Linked DNA regions of Neurospora crassa OR74A. The protein of the gene in region 1 binds, or shares a complex with, the protein of each later gene. Links are inferred from orthologs where the notes say so. Each region holds a gene or a part of one and is shown in the gene's direction. Other genes may lie near its edges.

What was found.
Region 2: NCU01785 (region 1) and NCU00570 share a complex: the UniProt entries of both Schizosaccharomyces pombe proteins name them as parts of the RNA polymerase III (Pol III) complex. The link is inferred for Neurospora crassa OR74A from reciprocal best matches to the Schizosaccharomyces pombe genes rpc17 and rpc11.
Region 3: NCU01785 (region 1) and NCU00727 share a complex: the UniProt entries of both Schizosaccharomyces pombe proteins name them as parts of the RNA polymerase III (Pol III) complex. The link is inferred for Neurospora crassa OR74A from reciprocal best matches to the Schizosaccharomyces pombe genes rpc17 and rpc34.

The regions. Positions count from the first base shown.
Region 1 is NC_026502.1:2,446,699-2,450,484, forward strand, and holds NCU01785 (hypothetical protein), read left to right. Parts: upstream 1-1,397; 5' UTR 1,398-1,748; coding exon 1,749-1,880; intron 1,881-1,936; coding exon 1,937-2,278; 3' UTR 2,279-2,309; coding exon of another isoform or gene 2,310-2,591; 3' UTR 2,592-2,651; coding exon of another isoform or gene 2,652-2,877; 3' UTR 2,878-2,984; coding exon of another isoform or gene 2,985-3,052; 3' UTR 3,053-3,192; downstream 3,193-3,786. Other genes in the region: NCU01786 (ribose-phosphate pyrophosphokinase II), read right to left, coding at 1-71; NCU16559 (hypothetical protein), read right to left, coding at 2,310-2,591, 2,652-2,877, 2,985-3,052; NCU01784 (pseudouridylate synthase 3), read left to right, coding at 3,606-3,786. UniProt on the Schizosaccharomyces pombe protein: DNA-dependent RNA polymerase catalyzes the transcription of DNA into RNA using the four ribonucleoside triphosphates as substrates. Specific peripheric component of RNA polymerase III which synthesizes small RNAs, such as 5S rRNA and tRNAs.
Region 2 is NC_026501.1:7,970,183-7,972,933, forward strand, and holds NCU00570 (DNA-directed RNA polymerase III polypeptide), read left to right. Parts: upstream 1-1,228; 5' UTR 1,229-1,467; coding exon 1,468-1,480; intron 1,481-1,536; coding exon 1,537-1,823; exon of another isoform or gene 1,824-1,879; coding exon 1,880-1,918; 3' UTR 1,919-2,099; downstream 2,100-2,751. Other genes in the region: NCU00571 (hypothetical protein), read right to left, coding at 1-313, 461-487; NCU00569 (SOH1 family protein), read right to left, coding at 2,120-2,407, 2,462-2,578. UniProt on the Schizosaccharomyces pombe protein: DNA-dependent RNA polymerase catalyzes the transcription of DNA into RNA using the four ribonucleoside triphosphates as substrates. Component of RNA polymerase III which synthesizes small RNAs, such as 5S rRNA and tRNAs.
Region 3 is NC_026501.1:7,400,950-7,404,555, forward strand, and holds NCU00727 (hypothetical protein), read left to right. Parts: upstream 1-1,380; 5' UTR 1,381-1,573; coding exon 1,574-1,815; intron 1,816-1,890; coding exon 1,891-2,881; 3' UTR 2,882-3,090; downstream 3,091-3,606. Other genes in the region: NCU00728 (hypothetical protein), read left to right, coding at 1-408; csr-1 (peptidyl-prolyl cis-trans isomerase), read right to left, coding at 3,281-3,574. UniProt on the Schizosaccharomyces pombe protein: DNA-dependent RNA polymerase catalyzes the transcription of DNA into RNA using the four ribonucleoside triphosphates as substrates. Specific peripheric component of RNA polymerase III which synthesizes small RNAs, such as 5S rRNA and tRNAs.

The DNA.
Region 1 (3,786 bases):
AGAATACCGCAGATGCTCTCCACCAATTCGGGGTGGGAGTTACCGCCGAGGACGACAATGTTACGGACCATCTTGCAGTCTTGATCTGGCGACCCGTCAGGATCGCACGTGCAAAGAGACGAGGGCGGAGGAGGGATCGAGACGAAGGAGGTGGCGTCTGAGAGGACGGCGGCGGCGGCGTCGGTGGTGGTCGCTGGAAGGCCGGAGGGGACAAGCCCGGAAAGAAATGAAAGCAGGGCCACGATAGCGTTGGGTAATGCGAGGCTCTTAAGCGCCACTAGCCGTAAGGCAATGGGCAAGCTGACTCCTCAGAGTGCCAGGTCGTGCTGGGCTTCGAAGGATCGTGCTCGGCTGTTTCCTCCCGGGTCTGGGAAGAAGAATTTGCGCCGGTATATTTTTTTTTCAAGACCGATTTGAGAGCCGAGCGATAGGCGAATAAGAATCCGTTCCGAGTCGATGGGCGATGGTCTAACTGGGCCAGACTTTAGCAGCACAAGTTGCGACGAGGCAGAGGATGCGAGGACCCAAACGTTATGTATAGAGTCTAGAGTCTAGAGAAGAAATAAAAGAGGAGATAGTGGGAGAGCAAAGCGAGGGAGAAAGAGGCGATCATCACTGCGAGATGATTCCGAGTAATGTGGGAGTTTGAGAAACCAGTTGATTAACAAGGGTCTGCTTGGAGCGAGGTCGGTCGTCAAAGCAGCGACATAGTAAGTGTATGTACTTGGTGTTAGTGCCACCCAAACAGGCTCACCTGGTTGGCGTTGGCGTGTGCGGTGGTGGCAGCAGTGGAATGAAGGCCTGGGCCAGGTTGTCAAGCAAGGAAGTCACAAGGAAGAGCGTCCCTCACCTCCGCTGGCACTACTGCACTGTCGCGGAGGGATCGCGGTCAAAAACCAGACACACAACAACGACGAGAACGGAACCTTCCATTGACATTGGGGGAAAAAACGGGTTTTCTGGATTAGGTGTGATGTTGATCATGGATGTACCATTGCTCCCCACGCTTGCTTGAAGTTCATAATCCCATCTTCGTCCTCTCTGCCTCGCTGATTTCCTCACTTTTGGACTAGGTTGCGAACAGAGAAGTGAAGACGTGCCTCGTTGTCAAACACTCATGACTGTTTCAGGACTTTGCCCAAATGGCTCCCGTCTCTCTCTGTGTTTGGGACTCCGTCACCGCACCGAACCCGTGCCGCGTGCGAGATTTTTTTTTTTTTTTTTCCGGGCATGTGCAATTGGAGGAATCTGGCTGCAGCGACGGCTCGACGCTCCAGGTGGGGCAAAGTGCAAACTGCGTTGTAAATGATTGGACAGGAACGCTCAATGTCCTGAGAATGCGGCTGCTGCGGTCCGTTCGCAACTTCTTGACTTCGTTACAATGGCGGGGCACGAGTGGACGGGAGTCCAATGTGGCAGGAACTGCAAGTGCAACCGCTTGTAAAATGGAACATATCACTGGCCACTGACCATTCACCGCGACGGACGGACCATCTCAAAGGCCTTCTCCTCCACCAAACCTTTGTTTTTTATCGTCATATTACCAGATCGCCAAGTCTAGAACACTGCTCCAAGAACACCACTTGTGTTGTCATTTTTGACACCAAACAAACGAGTAGCCAAACACGCTTACGCTTTCCCGAAAGCAGTCGCATTCGCATTCGCCTAGGCTACAGGTGGTCACCAGCAAGCAGTCGGCGCAAGACTTCGCTTCTCACTCAGGCAACAAGCCAACCCAAGTCGACACAATGAAGATCCTTGAAGGCCAAAGCAACCTGGTCTCAAACCATGAGGTCTATGAGCATATTCTGGAGCAACAGCAAAAGAACAGGTCCAAAAACAGGAGAGTGCCTCCCAACCAATTTACTCTCACCAAGGATGTAAGCAAGCCTGCCATCATGACGAATGTGAACATGCCCAAACTAACCTACAGCAGCTCTTGACCTATCTCCGAACCAAGCCTGGCCCATTGGCAAACCAGGACAAGACCCATCAGTACAGCACGGAAGCGTTGTATGAGCTCTTCAAGAAGCTTCGTGAGGCTAACCTCCAGAGCGATCTCTCGAAAGGCGAGATGCTCATGATCATCAACCTTCGGCCCACCAATGTTGCAGTTCTTAGCACGGTCGTTGAAGACATGTTGGAGCGCTTTACTGAGGACGAGCAGCAAAAGATCATCGATATCATCACCGAGACTCTCGGCTTTGACGAACCCACAGAGGCTGCGGAGGGAGAAGAGAACGACGAGGACGCAGCACCCTCCATTGAAAACTCTTGAAGACGTGGACATGACGACAGCTTTGGACAACTCACATGATTGTGCATCCTCCTTCGCTTTGCCCGCCCTCGGAAGTTGTCGTTTTCAGCGCCGTTGTACATATATCGTCGAACACCTCTTCCAGCAGCTCGCCAGTCACCGCAGAGCATTCCATGTACTTGTCTAACCTCATCTCTTGCGCCATGCGATACGCCTCCTGCGGGTAGATGGTACCGTTGGGATCATTCTCAGATCGCAGATCCCGCTTGAGGCCCAGCATAAGCACCGGGGTGTTGTCGCCGGTTACGCCCGCTGTCCGGACCTCTTTGTTCCACTGCGCAATATATCAGTTTGTTGAAGGATGCGGTTCACCCTGGTTAGAACCGGCGCTTACCACTCTTTGGAGGTTGATCAAACTGAGCCTCTGGCTGATATCATAGCAGAGGATGACTAGGTCGGGCCGAAGAAGTCTCCAGCTTTCTGGACTGGAAGTGTCGTAGAATTCGAGCCGATAGTCCCCGCGGCGAGCGCGAATATCAAAGATGAAAGGCTGGTCGAGGTCCCTGAGAAGGGTAATGGAATCTCTGCCTTTCAGGTTGTGACGGCCTCTGCTGATTCGCCTGGATGGGTGTTAGTGAATTGGCTTGTCTTGTCTTCTGTTCGGCTTGGTGGGCACATGTAGGATTAGATGCAGTATATAGCTGTATCATTCAGGATTATCACTAACGATAACAAGGTTGACTTTCCGCATCTCTCATCGCCAACGAACAGTATCGTGATCGTTTGTGAATCCATGACAAACAAAATGCAGGCTCGTGAAAAATGGGGGTGAAAAAAAAGAAAAAAAAATAAAGTATATATTCGAAAGAAGTGACTTTACTCGACAGTTACCGGCGAGATGCGGTTAGCACAGTCGTTCTTTTCGAGTGATCTTGTTAGCTCACACAGGAGAGCGGACTTGTTATCAACAAAACAGAAGCCCTGTTGCCTGCCGACAGGACGGGACGGGGGATACCAGAAAAGTCTCTGCCAAGACATATGTCCCCACAATATTTTTTTTTGGAGAAACTCCATGCGGGCACCCCCCCCCCCCCCCCCCCCCCAAAAGACCCCGTCGATAAGACGAATCCAAGTCTCGTGCAAGTGAGACTCTCATTGCCTTTTACCGTCTCATGAATCGAGGACCAACCCGTTATTCAAAAATTACCCTCCGGGTTTGCGCGAATTCGCTCACGAAGCTGGTATGTCTAAACCCGATAGAGTTTGCAAAACGGCTTCTAACACTAACCAACCAGAAAATAGCCTGGTTTGAGAAAGGGGAGACACTCATAAAGTTGAGGCCGAGTGCATGAACAGTCCGGGGTCCATACGGACACTCAGTCACCTTAAAGCATCTGGCAAAGCCATCGGTGTTGGTGGAACATTTTCCAAGTCAAGCATTGGAGATTTCACATCCAAGCTCAACAGGATCAAGTTCCAACTACGGACGTTCGCAAAGGGGCCAACCGTTCTTTCACAGGAGCCGAGCA
Region 2 (2,751 bases), on another chromosome or scaffold:
CCAGCTCGTTGCCGAACTCGCGCTGCGCTTCCGGCTCGCTGTTGATCCATCGGACTGCGCTGTGCAGCGGGGTGTCGCCCTCGAGTCGGTTGACGGGATCGCATTCAAAGCCTGGTTGGTCGAGGAGCATGTCGATTATCTCGTAGTTGCCACGGAGCGCGGCTTCGTGGTAGAGGTGGTTGCCCATCACGGTGGTCGTGTTGTTCAAGAGGGAGGAGATTTCTTCGTCGGATTTGTCGGCGAGAATTTCCGAGAGGAGGTCAGTGTTGTTACGCCGGCAAGCTTCAATGAGCTGCTCGGAGATGGAGGCACCCTGTATTTTGGGGGGTGAAAGAAGGAAGGGTTAGCTGGGGTTGTCTGTAGTATAGCTGTTTGCGCGAGAGGGCGTAGGGCGGGTGAAACGGGGGATAGAAGAGAGAGGGTGTTAGTTGGGGGTAGAGGACGCTTGTGTGGTACGAACCTCGTGTTCTTCGTCCTTTCCGGCCATGGTTACTGGTAGGTCACTTGTGGTTGTCTCGGAAACGGCGGGTGATGTTTCTTGGTTGTAGGAAGAAGCACAAGTAGCGAAAACGACGGTGAAAGCGAAGAGGGATGACGGCGAGAGTTGTCCAAAGTAGAGAGGTAAGATTGGCCTGGAATTGCTAATTACGAGCGGGAATCGTGGAAATGGGTCGGCGGGGGAGAGTGGATGTACGGTATGGAAGTGGCCAGGCTGTCGAATCAGGTAATCGGTCGATTCCTATAAAAGGATCGGGATCGCGTAACGCTCAATGAGGGATCTTCGGGGTAATAAGAGGGCGGCGAACGACTGTTTGTAGGGTACAGTGTACTGTATTCTATGAGATATCTCCAGTCGTGGTGGTGGTGGTGGTTGTATGAAGGACGGGATGGAAGCATTCCGTACCTCTACCTAACGGGCTGGTTAGGAGGTGGCAGTGGCAGTGTCGTCTTCCCTTGGTGTTACAGAATGGTCGGCTCCTTGCGGGGCCCGATCAGGACGCTGGCATTCAGATGGCATGCGCTGAGGCCCAGCTGCATGTCAGTGAGTAGGTACGTACCTACCTTAGCACAGGCACAACAGAAAGGGCCGTTGGGTCCAGGCACCGCTGACCAAGTGTGGGACAGTTGATGATGCAGATCTGACCAATGAAAATTCAAGCGCTACATTTAAGGTTTATAGAATTAACGGACCGCATCGAGCTATAACACTTTTTTTCAGGCCATCGCCCCTACACTGACTATTTACACTCTAACAACTTATATCACTACCTTAAAGCCCAGCAAGTGGTAGACATAAACACCGGTCTTGGCCAGCTGTTTTCACAAAAGGTACCAGCTTACGGCGACGCCTCTTCTCATCAGGATCGTCAACAAGACTTTTGGCAACCGCTCGACTCATCTCACTTGCTATTCATAACGGACGATAACACACAACAAACAAATCCAGTCCCTTCATCAATAGCAAACATGCCTATCGTCTGTAAGTCCAAGTCCACCCACAAAGGCTAGGACACCGGAACTAAACGCCCACCACAGTTTGCCCATTCTGCGCCAACCTCCTCATCCTCTCCCGAGCGGACACGGGTGGCAACAGGCTCGAGTGCAGAACCTGTCCTTACGAACACCCCATCGACAAGCCCATCTACTCCCGCAAGAACTTCCCGCGCAAGGAGAAGGAAGACGTGTTTGGTGGTCCAGGCGCTTGGGACAATGCACAAAAAGGCAAGGTCCAGTGTGACAGCGGAACTTGCAATGGCAACGAGGCAGCCTTCTTCCAGGTTCAAATTCGTAGTGCTGATGAACCGATGACGACGTTCTACAAGGTAAGAAGGGGATTGCAGACTGATGGGATAAAGTAAGAAGCTAACATGTCTCGTAGTGTATGACTTGCGGGCACAGGTGGAGAGACAACAACTAGAGGAAGAAGACATGTTCAGCACAGGTCTGGTCGGATCATCAATACATGGTATTGGGGGCATTGCTTGGCGTTGGGTTTTTCTTTTGTTTTTGTGTAGTTGCATGTGAGGTATTCTTCATCAGAATCAACTTGTGCGGTACTGGCCTGCCAGAGGCTACTTCCCACTCGTTTCCATCCCTGGCATCATTCTACCCGTGCAACTTATGCCGTGCTTGGAAAACTCTCTCGATGCCAGTCGATTCCGGCCTTCATGCCCTCTAGCCTGAGACGCTCGACCAGGTCTGGGCTGATGATGTCCTGCCTGAACTTTTCCTGCTGCAGCAACTCCAGGTTCTTCAAGGTAGGCCCAGGGTAGGTGATATACTTGAGGTAAGGTGGGCGGCTCCAGTACTGGAGATAGTCGAGGTAGGCGATGAAAGCAGGATTGCTGAGTAGCTTCCTGGACGCAAGATGGTTCAGGTACAGCGGGTTGCCAAGTGCTTGAACAAACTGAGTGTTCTGTTAATACCACGCACGCTGGATGATAATGTGTATGAAGCCTACCTCCAGTTCGAGTTCGAACCGTGTATATCCTCCATACTTGGGCTCGTCTGCCCCTGATCCCGGAGGCGCAGGTGGCTCCCTTGCTGAACTGTTTACTGACATGGGATCGGATGCCATGACGTAAAAAATGAGTGTTTGTTACAGTGTTCCAATCTGTGAATGAGCTGGATACCTAGGAACGTGTCTAGATGTTTGCGCCTCTTTGTCAAGTGAATGCGATGGGCAGTACAAGTAGACGTGAGCAGTGGCTGCTCTTAAATGGTCGTTTGTGTTGGACGAAAGCCTCAACG
Region 3 (3,606 bases), on another chromosome or scaffold:
TTTCAGGCACCGCCGTATAACTGGTCGCCCATGGTCAACGGTTTGATCAACATCCCAGGACTCATTGGTAACCTCTTCGGCAGCGTATTGGGCGGCTGGGCGGTTGACAAGTTTTGCGACTGGAAGACCAGGCGCAACAATGGCGTTTACGAACCAGAGAATCGACTGTGGCTCTGCATCGTACCTCTGATCATCAGCGGCTCGGGCTGCTTGGTGTTCGGATATGGCATTGAAAAGGCAATGGGCTGGGTCAGCCTGTTCTTTGGATATGGTATGATGTCGGTAGCATTGACGGCGGTGCCGACCATCACCATGGCCTATGTCTCGGACTGTCTGCTTCCACTAAACTCGGATGCTCTTATGCTTGTCAATGGTAAGAAGCAGCATGAGTCCCTCCTGGTTGAGTAACCTTGCTAATCACGGCACGATGTCAATAGGAACAAAGCATATTGTAAGCTTCTTCTTCGCGGCGTCGGTCTTGATCTGGGTCCAGATGGTGGGTTATGTTGAGGCTTTCGGAACAACGGCAGGCGTATTTGCGCTCATAGTGGGCGGAGGTATGGCAGTGTTGATTCCCTTTGGTGCGAGAATCAGGCACCGTCAAGCAACCTGGCGTATCATCCTGTGATGAGCGAAAGTTGTAAGAAGATGAAGAGGTAGTCAAGCCCAGATTGTCGGTGGTTGGATCATGGGATACACTGCGGCAAGGAGTTCCTTCAGTCAATGCATTTATCGTCCATTGTGGGCATCGATATCCTTCGGGTTGCACGTTGAGTTTCGCAGAAGGAATTTGATGAGCAGATAGATTTAGGGTGGGGGGAAAAGGGAAATCAAGCAGGAGACAATGGGTGAGCTAGATGACGTGTACACGATGTAGTGTGGTGACTCGATCCGCGAGAGTTGCTTTGTCAAAGAAAATTGGCGGTTGGAAGGTTGAAGGATGAGAAAAATGATAAGGTTGCAGAAGACCTGCGAAACTGGGATGGCCTGCGTGGTCCCGCAAGGCTGATCAGAAAGTGGAACGTGCTCCACTGAAGAGGACGCTTACATCGAGCATTCCGTGGATTATGCAACACTTCGGATTCCGTCACGCGTAAGAAGTCAGGGAATATTTACTTTGACAATTTGATATAGAAATACAAGACTTGGCTCATCAATGCTCGCAGTTTTACTTCATGTTGATCATGACTCTTTACTTATCGGGAAGAGGACATCTGACGAATCAACTTCCTGGAACTCTGAGCAGAAGTCACCGTCTTGGCATAACATGAGTGACCAATCACAAAACGCTTTATTCTGCTCTTTCATGCAAGGCTGAGAAAGGCGGGGCATTTCTTCTGGGAAATTTCGTGATCGACCAGTGCAACTCGGTTTGGCAAACCGACCTGCAGTTGGCCATACGCCACACCTTCTCTAAATCCAATCAACAGACCCATTTCAGACTGGGCATTGACGCTCACAACCAGCCAGGGCATTGTCTTTGTCCCGTCACGAGTCCCTTTTTTTCTTCCAAATTGTTGCGTCTCGGTCACCAGAACCACCACACGAAATTCCTAATCACCACCAGCACACGATGGCCGACCGCGACAAGATCCAGATCCTCAAGGATGCGCTTTACGAGGCGGCGAGGGACCACGGTTCCGATCAGCGTCTCTTCACGCAGCGGGACCTGTTGGACATGCAGGTCATCCCCCAAGACAATATCGGGTTGCTCATGCAGGTGATCCAAATTCTCTGCGATGAGAAGCTCTTTGTCGGCAACACCACGGCATCGGGGCTGTCGTGGAGATGGCGAAGCCGGGAGGATGCAAAGAAGTGCGTTACTACCTTTCTTTTTTCTTTTTAGGACACAACCGAGCACACCAACTAACCTCCCCTTCCTCCCAAAAGGTACACCTCCCTCCCCAACTCCGAAATAATGATGGTATACGCCATGGTCGACGAAGCCGGGGCCGACGGCATCTGGAACCGGACCATCAAGAACAAGCTCAACATGGCCGACTCGCTTATGAAGCATTGCATCAAGTATCTCGAGCAAAAGGGCTACATCGCCAGCATGAAGAACGTCGAGCACCCCAACAAGAAGATGTACATCAAGGCGAACCTACGTCCCTCCGATCGCGCCACAGGTGGCCCCTGGTTTACTGAGGGCGAGCTCGACACGGCCTTCATCAACGAGCTACAGGAAATTGTGTTTGACTTTATCAAGCAGAAATCGACATATACTTCCCACGGCGGCGGTGCTGGAGTACCAGGAGTAGGAGCACAAGGAGGAGGAGCACAGCAGCGTGAAAAGAATCCCAAGAAGGGCGTGGTTCAGGGGACCATTCCCCACTCGGAGGATATTTCCAAGGGGACGAAGCGCAGCGCGGGCGAGATTTCCAACGACGACACGGCGGCACCGGCACCGGCCAAGAAGACCAGGCCCGGCAAGCCGCAATTGCTGCCTCTCCCGGCCGGTTACAAGTCGTACCCGACTGTGTCGGACATTGCAAAGTTCATCCACCACGCCGGCATCACGAATAATACGACGTTGAGCGAGGCGGATATCCAGCAGTTGGTGGATGTGCTATACTACGATGGCTTAGTAGAGCCTGTCAAGGTCAATGGGCGCAAGGGGTACCGTGTGACGCGCATCCCCAAACAGGATCCGAGGACGTGCAATCAACGACGCCTCGACCATGATCCAACCAAAGGAGGCATTGTTACCTCATTTATGGGAGTTGAGCCGAGTGCAAGTGGCCTTATGGAGGCGCCTTGTGGGCGGTGCCCTGTCTATGATATGTGCGAGGAAGGCGGACCTGTCAGCCCCAGCAACTGCGTCTATTTCAGACGGTGGCTGGATGGTGACGAGGTACAGGAACAAGTCATTTCGATCTGATCGACTCGAATGTGTTTGTGTCTCCGTTTAGAAGACGTTGCATGGTCTCTATCACAACTGCATTAACGGCGTAAAAAAAAAGAAGGCAAGGGTAATTTGGTTTCATCTAGGCGTTGGAGGTAATCTGTTTAGCATTCAATGTGTTGGCGATAACATTCACATGACCTGCAAACTGTCTAGGAAAAGACATCAGTTTACGTGATCTCATCAACCATCAGTTTGCGTAATCACATCAACCATCAAAGCGACAGTGATGACGATGCAGTGAAGAAGGGTGGGTGTGCAGCGCAGGAAATCCATTTTGATGGGCTATCTAGATATTATAGCAGCACATTCATATGAATATTATGGTACCGCGACTCCAATCCCTAAAACCCTCGACAATGTCCACAAGGGAATTTAGAGAGCGCCGCAGTCGACAATGGTGGGCTTCTTGGAGTAACGAATAGCACCGCTGCTGGAGCCAGTAGCCTCAAGGGCCTTGACGACCTTCATGGACTCATCGTCAGCGACCTCGCCGAAGACGACGTGGCGGCCATCGAGCCAGCTGGTGGGGACAGTGGTGACGAAGAACTGGGAGCCGTTGGTGTTGGGGCCGGCGTTGGCCATGGAGAGAAGACCAGGGCGGACGTGCTTCTTGGCGAAGTTCTCATCGGCGAACTTCTCGCCGTAGATGGACTTGCCACCAGTGCCCTGTTCAGAGAGGTTAGGTCTTTATTTTCCCA